2 linked regions of the Danio rerio genome follow. The protein of the gene in region 2 interacts with the protein of the main gene of each other region in a pairwise test. Links are inferred from orthologs where the notes say so. Each region holds a gene or a part of one and is shown on either strand. Other genes may lie near its edges.

What was found. The genes of interacting proteins can lie anywhere in the genome.
Region 1: the proteins of nup50 (region 2) and kpna1 interact in binary tests that used the Homo sapiens proteins (3 or more experiments, as listed by UniProt). The two-hybrid records come from large-scale screens. The link is inferred for Danio rerio from reciprocal best matches to the Homo sapiens genes NUP50 and KPNA1.

Annotation. Positions count from the first base shown.
Region 1 is NC_133199.1:24,832,469-24,839,223, forward strand, and holds the start of kpna1 (importin subunit alpha-5), read right to left. Parts: upstream 4,472-6,755; 5' UTR 4,300-4,471; coding exon 4,137-4,299; intron 1,682-4,136; coding exon 1,545-1,681; intron 983-1,544; coding exon 869-982; intron 782-868; coding exon 682-781; intron 592-681; coding exon 497-591; intron 1-496. UniProt on the Homo sapiens protein: Functions in nuclear protein import as an adapter protein for nuclear receptor KPNB1. Binds specifically and directly to substrates containing either a simple or bipartite NLS motif.
Region 2 is NC_133179.1:71,995,035-72,001,196, reverse strand, and holds part of nup50 (nuclear pore complex protein Nup50), read right to left. Parts: coding exon 6,118-6,162; intron 4,647-6,117; coding exon 4,566-4,646; intron 4,480-4,565; coding exon 4,287-4,479; intron 1-4,286. UniProt on the Homo sapiens protein: Component of the nuclear pore complex that has a direct role in nuclear protein import. Actively displaces NLSs from importin-alpha, and facilitates disassembly of the importin-alpha:beta-cargo complex and importin recycling.

The sequences.
Region 1 (6,755 bases), on a different chromosome or scaffold from region 2:
GCTGCGACTTGGGGTTTTCAGTCTAGCAGGTTTTTTTTTTTTTCAATTTGTGAAACAAATCTTGATTTGATTCAGTGAATATAGATTTCACAATCAGCAAACACTATTTCAGATACATGTAATAAGAATTATGAAATATAGCAGGGCATTTTCAAAAATAGTAGGCCCCTTCATAATGAACATATAAACACGGAGATTCTAAATAGATCAAATAAATTCTACATAAATTTAAAGATATGAAACCTCCCCTTCTCATCAGCAATGAGTTTTTGACTTTTTTTACATGCTCTTGGAATGAAAACGATTCAGTTCACAAAACAAAAGTCAGAACAGTTCCAAAAGAGTTTTTATTTTCTTTCTTAGGCTGCTGTCTTTTTAATACCTTACATAAATAATGTGTCTTTCTCTCTTGATGCAACATACTGTTTTAATATTTCCAAAGAAAAGAAATATATAAAATCTCTTGGGATTTTAATATTCCTTAAATATCCATCACCTGTAGTGTGCAGTTCTCTCTTCTTTTCAGGAACTCAACAAATCGCTCCACGACACCAGGGGTGGCAATAACCTCATCAATAGGGGGATTAGGCTCTAATGGAGGGTTACAAAGACAGAATTAGCATAATTTAGCACTAATTTGATTATGTAAATGCTTGATTTTTAGTCTTTGGGGTATTTCACCTTTAGATAAGAGCTTTCTGAAGCGCTGTGTTCCTATGAGCTGTTGTTCTGGAGAGCTGGAGAAGATCATCTGTATCATGTCTTCAGAAATAACACTTCCCTTTAACGATGGAAAAACAAAAAAAGGCAATTAATTTTTCATCAGTAAGTAAAAAGCTAAGACTAGCCTTCATTTTTGCTGTACTACCGTGATTTGGTCCATATTGTTGGCCTGTGATTCCAGGTATCCGCTGTCAGACATCCCATCATCTTCCAGTGCTCCATCCTCCTCCACTGTGGCCACATTTCTGCGCTTGAACAGCTATAAGAACGTTCAAATTTGTCAAAGTTGAAACTTTATCCCCAAAGCTTCTCTTAAGAGTGCACTTTACTTGCAATTTTATTTAAATATATTTTATTTTTCAATATATATTTTATTTTTTTATTTACAATCAAGCACTCATGCATCTTCACGACTCTTCAAAATGAAAGCTTCAATTGATGAAATTGAAACAGAAATATTGTTGTCCAGTAGAATGTACTTTTCTAATAATAATAATAATAATAATAATAAAATATTTAAAAACATTAAATATGACAAAAATATGATACAATATGATTTTATGCTAGCCCAGTAATAGTTAATAGTGAATATAATACTTTACACTATATACAATACACTTTTATAAATTTTAATCAAACAAATTCAGATTGGTGAGAAACTTTTTTTCAAAAAGACAAAAATTTCTTTTCATTATATTGTCTCAAAGTTCATTCCATCCTTCCTATAAATTTAAGGCTAGTTTAATAATATCTTTATTAGTAAAACCACAAGAGTCAAATAAAACAGAAAAACAAGTCACTCTTATCTCCACTTGACTTACTTGTTCATCTTTCTTTTGTTTTCGAAGTTGCAGGCCTTCTTCCTCCCTCCTCCTCCTCATCTCATCTGTGTTGAGCGATTTGTTTTTATAGCTTTTGAGACGTGCATTGTCCTTCCCTTGACTCATGATGTTGTCTGCTGTAAAGAGACGATCAAAGCAAGATGAGCACAATAGAAAAATCATCAAGACTTATTAAAATACTTGCTTGATCTCTGCTAGATCACAGACCTCTTGAAAAGATCATTTAATGTCACTTGTTTCCATAGGCAGTGGAGACACACATACACACAAATTTTTACATCCTGCATTAGTGACAAAACTAATCTGACAGCAACCTTACTGAAAGGTCCTGTTATGACATTTTAATATACCTTGTTAAATAACATTGAGAAAAGTAAACATTTTAAGAGAAACCTATCCAGAGATTAACTATTCACAATTAGGAACATAAGATGCATTTAGAAAATAAATACATTGAATTTTCTTTTAATTTCATTTCAAGTTTTTAGCTTTTTCTTCACATTACTTTTATATTATTCACAATTAAATATATATATATATATATATATATATATATATATATATATATATATATATATATATATATATATATATATGCACAATATTGGAAAAATCTAACAATGCAATATTTTTTTGATTTTGCCATATAAATGAAATTTTCCCAGATGACTTAATATCTTTATTTTTGTCAAGAATTTATAATGTTAGATCGATTGGGATGATTCTGTAGTGGGAGAGCATATAAACAGTTTCTGTATAAACAATTTCTGTATTTGCATGTGCTGTGTTGTGAGTATTAATGATGAATTAATTTTTACTATTTGCATCCCTATAAAATCAAATAAACAATCTTTACATTTTTAGGGTACCTACCCAGACACATTTTTGTTGTGGTCTGTGCTATTTGCAGTGCATTTCTGTATATGCACTTGTGAGTATTTTTATTCATAACAATCTATTAATACAATCAACAAACTTCAATAAAAATAATCGTAGTTAAGGTCACAAATTGTGCAATTTCTTATAGCTGAATGCTTTTGAAGACATTATACAATCACAGGCATAAACAAAACATGTGCAAATGATACATTTTAATACAAACTACAACAACATTGCATATCCTGCGATATGACTATTGCGAATGATCACATTGCAATATTGATCGAAACGATATATTGTGCAGCCCTAATACTAACATTATTCTATTTTAAATTATTACAATTGTCTTGCTGATAAATCTGTAAAAAAGAAAGAAAAAAGTTTGAAATGTAAATGAATTATTATTTTTTGCTTCACTGTAATCCTTAAATTGGGTTTTATTATGTCATTGAAAGATGCCCACAAAACCTTTTATTTCTAAATTTTATGCTAATATGGTGAAATCTGACAAACATACTTTATCAACAGAGTGATAAAATAAGACATTCAAAATCCCTTTTGCATATGCCAATAATATGAAACAAAAATTAACCAGTGCTCAAAATTGTATGTTTAAATTTAAGTACATCAGCCCATTTTGAGTTCGACAGGACCTTGCTTTAATATGAAACCTGAACATTTCAGACACCTAATGGATCATAAAACAATTAACAATATTGAGGAAGTATGGTGATATGTATTAATTATTATTCACTGGTTTAGCTATTTCTACCCTGTTCAACAGTGGTGCTTTGGCCCAATATCTTCAAACTATTTATGTTTCTTATTTATTAGTAGTAGTTGTGGCAATGTTTTCTATTTTAGGACTGCACTGTTATCCTTACATACAGTCTTCTAATACATCGTCAAAAGACTACTGCTTTAAATGTGTCTGACATGATTTCTGGCATGTAAACAGTTTGGTGTCTTCTTTAAATCATGGTAAAAATGTTTGTTAAGACTTTTTTTTTCTAAACTATATATATTTTTTCTATTTATAAATTTAGTCTATGATTTTATTTTGTTTGTTTATCAGACGGTTTTCAACATGTCAGGCAAATTTCTAAATGCTTTGACACTATTTTTGATAAAAATATTTCATAAAAGATAAGGATTAAACGCAAAGCTTGAGCTAAACAACCACCACGGACGATAACATTTATTATTTATTTATCTCTAGCCAGTGTACCTGTGACATTTAGTCTCAAACTACTAAAAACAATATAAAACAGAGGCTGCATGGATCTGTCAGTGTGTTTTGGGCAGTGGTGCTAGAGCCCGCAGTGAAGAGGATCGACCCATCAAACCATCCACACCTAAAAACAGCCGCCAAACGCACCAATCTCACCGATCATCGCATCACAGAAGCGGAAACGATCGATTCAAGTTAACAAAATGTCATTTTTGCTCCACACGAGCTAGTGATCATCGACTGAAGAGCAGGTTTGTTAGTAATATCGTCTTAACAGCGGACTCGCCTCCCCCTCCCAGATCTGCGCAGCAGCCTCTGTTAGCTTATCTGCTAACCCAGCCAACAAGGTTGTCCGACTAACGCCTTTTATCTGTGTTTTAACATTATAATCTTTTGAATTTGACATCATGTAGACGGAATAAAACCAGACAGACACAAGTTATCCACACTGGCGTACTGACCTGTCAAAACGGCCTCGTTTATCCCTGCGTCGTTTAAGCTGCAACCGTTCAGCCTCCGCCGGTATAGTGACACTGCACATGCGCATTGTGAGAGGACATCGTGTGCGAAGCGCATGTCTGCTTCTCGGTGTTGCCAGTTCTGTGTAACGAACAGTGTTGCCATCTCCGCGCTTTATAAGTAAACATTATAAGCTTATATACATATATTTAAAAACAAATACATAGCTTATAATAAATTATCTATGTAGATACCTTTTATATCACATAACTCATTTTGTAGCATTCATACAAATCATAAAGCATATGCCAAAATAATTGGCAGTTCATTTCGCTGTGGTGACTCCTGATAAATCTATTATTATTATTATTTTTATGATTATTAATAATAATAATAATTGCTTTCGCCTCACAGCAAGAAGGTTGCTGGGTCGCTGGTTCAAGCCTCAGCTTGGTCAGTTGGTGTTTCTGTGTGGAGTTTGCATGTTCTCCCTGCGTTTGCGTGGGTTTCCTCTAGGTGCTCCAGTTTCCTCCACAGTCCAAAGACATGCGGTACAGGTGAATTTGGTAGGTTAAGTTGTCCGCAGTGTATGAGTGTGTGTGTGTGTGAATGAGTGTGAGTATGTTTTTTTTTAAGCCAGAAAGAAAATGAATGGATAAATGAATGAAAATAATAATAATATTTTATTATTATTATTAAGTACATTTATTTATTCATATGAACGTCATTTTTATCTATTTATTTTGTATAGGCCAATCATATATAATTTAAATTGAATATCTACATCTCATCTTACTTATTTGTTTACTCAGTTGTTTTACACAGTGGATGGCTGTATGCCTTTCCAGCTGCAACTTAGCACTGAAAGTACAACACTCAATGCTGGGAAACAACCACAGACTCTCCCATTCACACACATTTAGCCAATTTAGTTGATTCAGTTTGCCTATAACTTCACCTACATCTTTGGACTGTGGGGGAAACCGGAGCACCTGGGGAAAACTCGAGCAAACACAGAAATAGCCACACAGAAATAGCAACTCAAACAAGCAACCTTCTTGTGGTGAGGCAACCATGCTAGCCTCAGCCAATGTGCCATGGCTGAATGAATTGTTATCATATACACATTCATTCGTTTTCTTTTCAGCTTAGTCTCTTTCTTAATCAGGGTCACCACAGCAGAATAAACTGCCAACTTACGCAGCAATATGCCAACACAGAAATGCCAACTGACCTCGAACCTTCTTGCTGTGAGGTGACATCGCTACCCACTGCGCCTCCATCATATACACATATGTATTTTTATTATTTGTATAAAGAAATATATGTGAACAGTAATTTATAAATACAGTAAATCCTTTTGTTCATGTATTATCATCATATCACTTTTCCTTTATTCTTACATAATCACTCCTTTTGTAAAATTATTTAACAATGTTGGTTTATTACTCTCTTTTTGTTTTTATTGAGTCACTTTGAATGTTGTTTTTGTATTTTTGTATAAGTGTTTTTGTAGGCATGTTTTTCCATCAAAATCTGGCAACATTTAATCTTTTCATCCGCACCATATGATGCTTTCAGTGTTTTTCTCCTTTTAAGTCTTACATAAAAAAGGTAATATACGAAGATAATATTATTTAAAAAAACTCATTTTACAAATGTGAAAATCTGAAACTGTCCCCACCTTTGAAATGTGGGCTAGAAAGCTTGGAAATATGTTACACTTAGGAGAACAGAGATTCACACTAAATGACAGATTGTCCAGTTGTAACAAGATTTGGGAACCATTCATAATATTTTTTTAGATAGACTGAACTGATATAGACTTTTACAAGACTGTTGTATGGTAATTTATTTGTTTATTTAATTTCATTATTTACTTTATAATTATCTTATAATTATTTTAGAATTTATCTTTTGGTAATCGCCTCACAGCAAAAAGGTCGCTGGTTCCAGCCCCAGCTAGGCCAGTTGGCTTTTCTGTGTGGAGTTTGCATGTTCTCCCCGTGTTCGCGCGGGTTTCCTCCTGGTGCTCCGCTGCCTAAAACATGTGCTGGAAAAGTTGGCGGTTCATTCTGTTGTGGGGACCCCTGATTAATATAGGGACTAAGCCAAAAAGAAAATGAATGAATGTATCTTTTGGTCTAATTGTCTATGTACACCTATTGCTTCAATTGTATTTATTTTTTTGTCCTAGCCAGTTCCATAATATGATTGTAAATGTTATTCATGCATGACTTTTATTTTATTTTTTGCTAACTTTCTACAAACATTTTGATCAATGTTAGATGGGTGGGATGTAGGGTTTTGAGTTCCTTTTTGTTGTGAGCCAAATTCACTGTGAAAGTCTTTCCAAGAGATTTTTGATATGGATCATCTCTTTCTTGTACGGATATAGGCGGTACTGTGTGTATGTATTTTTTTTTTCAATGAAAATAAAGAGTTTAAAATATATACAGTTGAAGTCAGAATTATATATATATATATATATATATATATATATATATATATATATATATAGTTTATGTATACACACACACACACACACACACACACACACACACACACACACACACACACACACACTGTAAAACCCAATAAGTTAAGGGAACTCAAACAAT
Region 2 (6,162 bases):
CAAATCACAGCGCACTGCAGTCACGCATACAACATACGATTTTTAAAACGCTCAACTTTTAATTAATGCAAGAACATGCGATACATTTGTGTGAAGCTGTTGCATTGTCAGGTGTTCGTTAACGGTCAACAACCGCCTGAATGTACTTTACCCCTTACTTCATGGATAATTAAGTGTAGTTTTCTGTACTAATACACAACAAATTACTGTGATGAGAAGGGCTGCTTCCTAAATATTAGAGTTGGGGTCGAGTCCACCTTTGTCGAGTCCAAGTCGAGACCAAGTCCTTAACCAGTCGAGTACAAGTCCGAGTCTGAGTCCAAAAGGGGTCGAGTCGGACTTAAGTCCGAGTCCTTAACATCCGAGTCCGGCCGAGTCCAGACAGTCTTAAAACTCATTTATTATTTTTTCTTTTGGCTTAGTCCCTTATTTATCAGGGGTTGCCACAGCGGAACGAACTGCCAACTAGTCCAGCATATGTTTTACGCAGTGGATGCCCTTCCACCATTCACCCATTCACTCTCATTCACACTCACACACCCCGGCCATTTTAGTAAATTAAATTCCCCTATAGCGCATGTGTTTGGACTGTGAGGGAAACCGAAGCACCCGGAGGAAACCCACACCAACACACGGAGAACATGCAAACTCCACACAGAAACACTCCTGACTCCAGTCCCTGTGCGGCAACAGTGCTAAGCATTGAGCCATGGTACCACGTATGTAAAATAACAATAATAATAAATCAAATATATTTTTCTATTAACAATTAAACTGTTAAATGAAGAATTTAAACTTTTTGTACATTTTTACAAAATGACTTGTATTTTTTGTTAGCTTGCTTCAAATTAAAATAAAAATAGGAGGATATATGTCGAATTTTTATTATTTTACAAGACTCACACGATTGACATTATTCTAATGCCACTTTTTCACATTTCTTGTTTAAAATACGCTTGCATTACCAAGGCAAAAATGCATTTTTATTAACATTAAACATCAAATAACAGAGAACTGTTATCAGCCCCAGTGTGGAAAATGAAACCATACTCATGCCAACTGACCCAGATCAGCACAGAACATAAAAGGTTCAGCAAAGGGAGACCATTCGGCTTCACCACTGTCTTAACAGGGAATTAACAGTCAGAAAGATTTTGTTTTAAATAAAGAAAGAGTGATTAAATAGTGGGGGCGATTGGGTGCAAAATAAAACCCAGTGGGAATCAGACTGAAAAAATAGTCCAGTGCAGATTTCTAGGCTCTTGATCTGGGTCTATCTGTTAATGATAGCCTGAAACAGGGGTTCTCAATGTCTACATTAAAAGTTCTAAATCTGAATTTTTTTTATTAAGGTCAAAGCAAAGAAATTAAACAATTGATATTACATAACTTGTTTTTAATAAACATCCATAAGATGCAGCACGGTGGCGCAGTGGGTAGCACAATGGCCTCACAGCAAGAAGGTTACTGATTCGAGCTGGCTTAGGGCAAAATAAACACATACTTATCTGTTCATTCAACTTTGAACTGTCTATTCTCTTCATCAATTCTTTTCAGTGAGACTGACATCTTCTTCCATTAAAATGATTGCTTTGCTGCAGTGTGTTAAAACAGGCGAGCACACACGATTATCCAGCATGATCATGATTAGGCCCAGCCCTAACCAATTTGGAGCCCTAGGCAAGATTTCAGGTGAATTCCAGTAAATTCCACTGCTAGTGTACATATACTCATAAGACACTTATTAGCTTTGTCTTGGACATTCTTTCATTTTAATAAAGCAAGTGTACATTCCAAACACTTAGAAGTTTTTGCAACTCTGGGACACCTCGAAAAAATACGCAGCGATTATGCATTGTGAAACCCGTGTAAGTTTTGCAACTGGACAAAACAAAAATTAAAACAATATGATGCTGATCTTATTTTAACTAAACATGCTATGAAGCAGAAAAGAAGGATGAAGAGTCAGGCAGGTATTAGGCCTAAAACATGCCTAATGATTTATACAAGATAAATTCAGGTCTAAAAAGACAACATATAATTCTCATTCATTCATTTATTTATTTTCTTTTCGACTTAGTCCCTTTATTAATCAGGGGTCGCCACAGCGCAATGAACCGCCAACTTATCCAGCATGTTTTACACAGCGGATGCCCTTCCCTTTATATGCTATGGCCAATTTAATTAATCAATTCACCTATAGTTTTTGGATTGTGGGGAAAACCGGAGCTCCCAGAGAAAACCCACGCCAACACGAATAGAACATGCAAACTCCACACAGAAACATCAACTGACCAAGCCGTAGCTCGAACCAGCAACCTTCTTGCTGTAAGCCGACAGTGCTACTCACTGCGCTACCGTGCAGCCCACAGATAATTCTATAAAACATATTTTTTGTATCTTATGGAATTGTCGAATTAAATTAATATTCTTGCAAAAGACTTCTCAAATTATCTTAATACATCGCTCCTGTTGTGTCTTTGTGTTCCAGTTACATTTAGGACACATTTCTGTTATTTATTTAGAATATTAATTGTATAATAATAATTATATATATATATATGTATATATATATATATATATATATATATATATATATATATATATATATATATATATATATATATATATATATATATATATATAAATAATATAAATATATATATATATAAATAAATGGAGGGTGGGGGGCTTTTGAGGATATAGGTCATAGTCCTGGTCCTCTGTTCAAAAGACAGTGATGATGACATCAGCATACAACTATGCATAATTCTGAATTATTTTAAAACGAAACATTTGAGATGATTAATTGTGCAATACACATATTCTTGCACTCGGTCATTGACTACATATAAATAGAATCAGAAATGTGTCATTATCAGATTCTCTCTTGCATATTCAACATGGCAGATATATACTGCTGCTCACAATCAGTGATGTTTATTCTCACACAGAAGACTCACATTGTGGACACAGGCACCCCTAATCTCTCCAATGTCTCTCATCAAAATATTACCTGAATATTAATTTTTACACAAATTCAAAGTCAAACCTCATTTTATCTTTAAAAAGATTAAATTATTGCTTGAATTTGTGGACTTAGTCCACTGATTATCCATTCTGAATGTTGTCTGGATTTTAATATAACTCTACATTAAATTCATTTGTGCTTATATTGACTTAATATGCAACTCCAAGCAACATTATTACAACATTTTTGCTATTCCATCATTTAATTACTGTAATTTTACACAATCTTTATACTCTCCTAACCCTATCCTCAAAAGCAGAAGCTGATCTGGGATCTGGGATGAGTTTATTATACGGAACGCGTCCGTCAGTCAGCATGTATAGGCTACACTGATTCAGAAATGTGATGATCGACGCACATCTTTAATGGAAGTGAATGCAGACATTTTTATATTCATTTTAACGTGCTTTCAAGCCAAAATAAAGCGAAAGCACAATTCTCTTGAACAGCTCTTGCAGTTCTATCGCATTTCAGATCGCTGTGTTGACGGTGCTTTCACTTTTCATAGAAAGATTAAGCATAAGGGGGAAGAATTGGAAAATTAATCGGGATGATTGCGGGGATGTCATTACAAGAGTCACACAGGAAAACTTTGAATATTACGGAGTCCGGATTTGAGAAGCCCTGGCCTAAATCAAGCGCTGAACGAATATTTCTCTGGCTCAGAGCCAAAGAGTGAAACTTTGAATCTCACAGTTATTTGCGGATATATTGACACCAATATAAACAACAAAACAATATCGCCAAGATGTTTTAACATCATCCCTACGATATGAATGTACAATTCAAGTAAATAAGCTCTTACCTTTCTTTGCTTTCTTTCAACATGTCGGTAGAAGACAAATTATTGCTGAAACCTAGCCACGCATTGTGTGATTATGGCTATTTCTGGTTACACGTTTAGGGTGATGACGTGCTTATGCTGCCTGCTGGTATGGTGCGGTGGCGTAAATAAAAGCTGACATGCAGCCAGAGAGATCGCTAAATTCTTGTTATACTTTCATGCTGTTATTTATTCATTTTTAATATCTTTATTTGTGTTGTGAATGATGTGGACTCGACTGGACTCGTGATATTTTCCGAGTCCAAAATGTCCAAGTCCGAGTCAAGTCCGAGTAAAAGTTTCCCCAAGTCCGTGACAAGTCCGAGTCCAATGAAAACTGGACTCGAGTCCGAGTCCAAGTTCGAGTACCCCAACACTACTAAATATACATACACGTACATAAAAGTGAATTAGAAAGAGATAGTAACGTACCACTGTTAGTTTTAGCAGATGCAGGAACGTTGAAACCTGTGAATGACGGAGCCACTGATGCCACGCTGCCATTGGTCAGGCTGGCCATGGGTTTGAAGCCAGCACCATTGCCGAAGCCAGAGAACGAAGCCGTCGCTGTGGCTGGAGCCAGAGAAAACCCCTTAAACGCTTTGAAAGCCCCTCCACTCTCTCCCTGCGACAAAACAGCAGTATTGATGTGAACTATAATCGCTTTAAATAAACAACTGGGCGCCTGCTGGGATGCAGGAAGGGTTTTACCTCTGCAACGTTACGCCGCTTGGCTTTCTTGATGGCGCGGTTTTTCATCACATCATCACTCGCAATCGAAAACGTTCCTGCCTGAAGAGACAATAATTACCCCTGGTTAAAATTGGCAAGAAGCACAGCATGATTTGTAAATACGGAGCACAAATATCTACACAAAAAATTATATTTAAACTTAAAGCGCTTGAGAGAATAGGCTAATATGTTTAATTATGTTTAAATCTTTGCACAAAATCTAATTAATAAAATTCTTCACACTGCCTCAAAACTTTAGTCCATCATTAGCTATGTTTCGATCCGAAAATGCTAATTAAATTTATGCGCAAAACTGGATTATAGACGCGCGAATAAAGCAGCGTTTCCATCCAACGAGTCAAAGCGAACAAAATCGTCACTTTCTGATTAACTGGCGCCAAATATCAACAGTAAAGACGTCAATTGCTGCGTTTGGAGAGGCTGCGTCAATCTTTTCTTCATTTAATAAATGACTTCTGACCTCAGAAGACGATGCTGACATGCAGTGAAGTGAAGGTGGCGTTTGAAGGTGTCAGACGTGGAGCACAGACGTTCTTGATTCTGGATGTCATTAATAATATAACACTAATACTGAAACGGTAAGGTGTTTTAGGCCCCGTTTACACTAGTGCGTTTTAGTTTTAAAATGGCGTTTTAGATCAAAAACGATCCGCGTCCACACTAGCATCTCTGAACATTTCTCCGTCCACACTACGCCACCAAAAACGTATATCACGTGACCATTCGCGCACTCTGGTCATGCCCGTTGTAGTATAAACAGGAAGCATGTGTCTCGCTCGGCATTTGGTTATTGTTAGTCAACAAACGCCGATTGAACATTAAACGCGATGGCAAAGAAAGCAAGAGGTATTTTTGTGGACAGACGACGAGGTCGAATGTTTAAATTAGGTTTATTTTACATGGATATCTATCTAAACACGTTAAAAAACAAAAAGAGTACGACATGTCTTACAAACGAGTAACGTTGTGTGTACATGTACGGATCAAAGGAAACATATTCCCAGCTTTTATAAACTTGTTTTGCCTTTAGAATAAGTTTTAAAATCACTTTGAAAAAAAAAAAAAAAGTCATAACAAATTTTATTAGTAACTGCAGCTTTTACGCTTGCTAGATGAGTCCTCTTTAGGCTAGATCATCTCATTTCAAAGCGCTCGGTTCGGCCTGCGTGGACTTCGAAGGACTCGCCTTTGAAGTCTGCAGCGTCTGAAATGAGACGCAGCTATTATGTTCTGACGAATGTTAGGAAAAAACATCCATAGTATGAACCAAACCAAATACGACGGACATCAATGGCTGTTTTCCAGCCGTCTTCAAAGTATCTTGTTTTGTGTTCAACAGAGGACAGAAACTCAAACAGGTTGAAACAAACAAACGGCGAGTAAATGTTTATGTTTAGGTGGACTGTAACTTTAAGTGTTGTTTTAGACGCATAGTTTGGTTAAGAGTGTTTCCACTTGGAAAGTAATGATGTTTGACAATGAACTAGTGCAGTGCTGGAAAGTGGCGCACCTCTTCTCCATCATCCTCCTGATCCCAGTTCCTGTCGGTCAACTC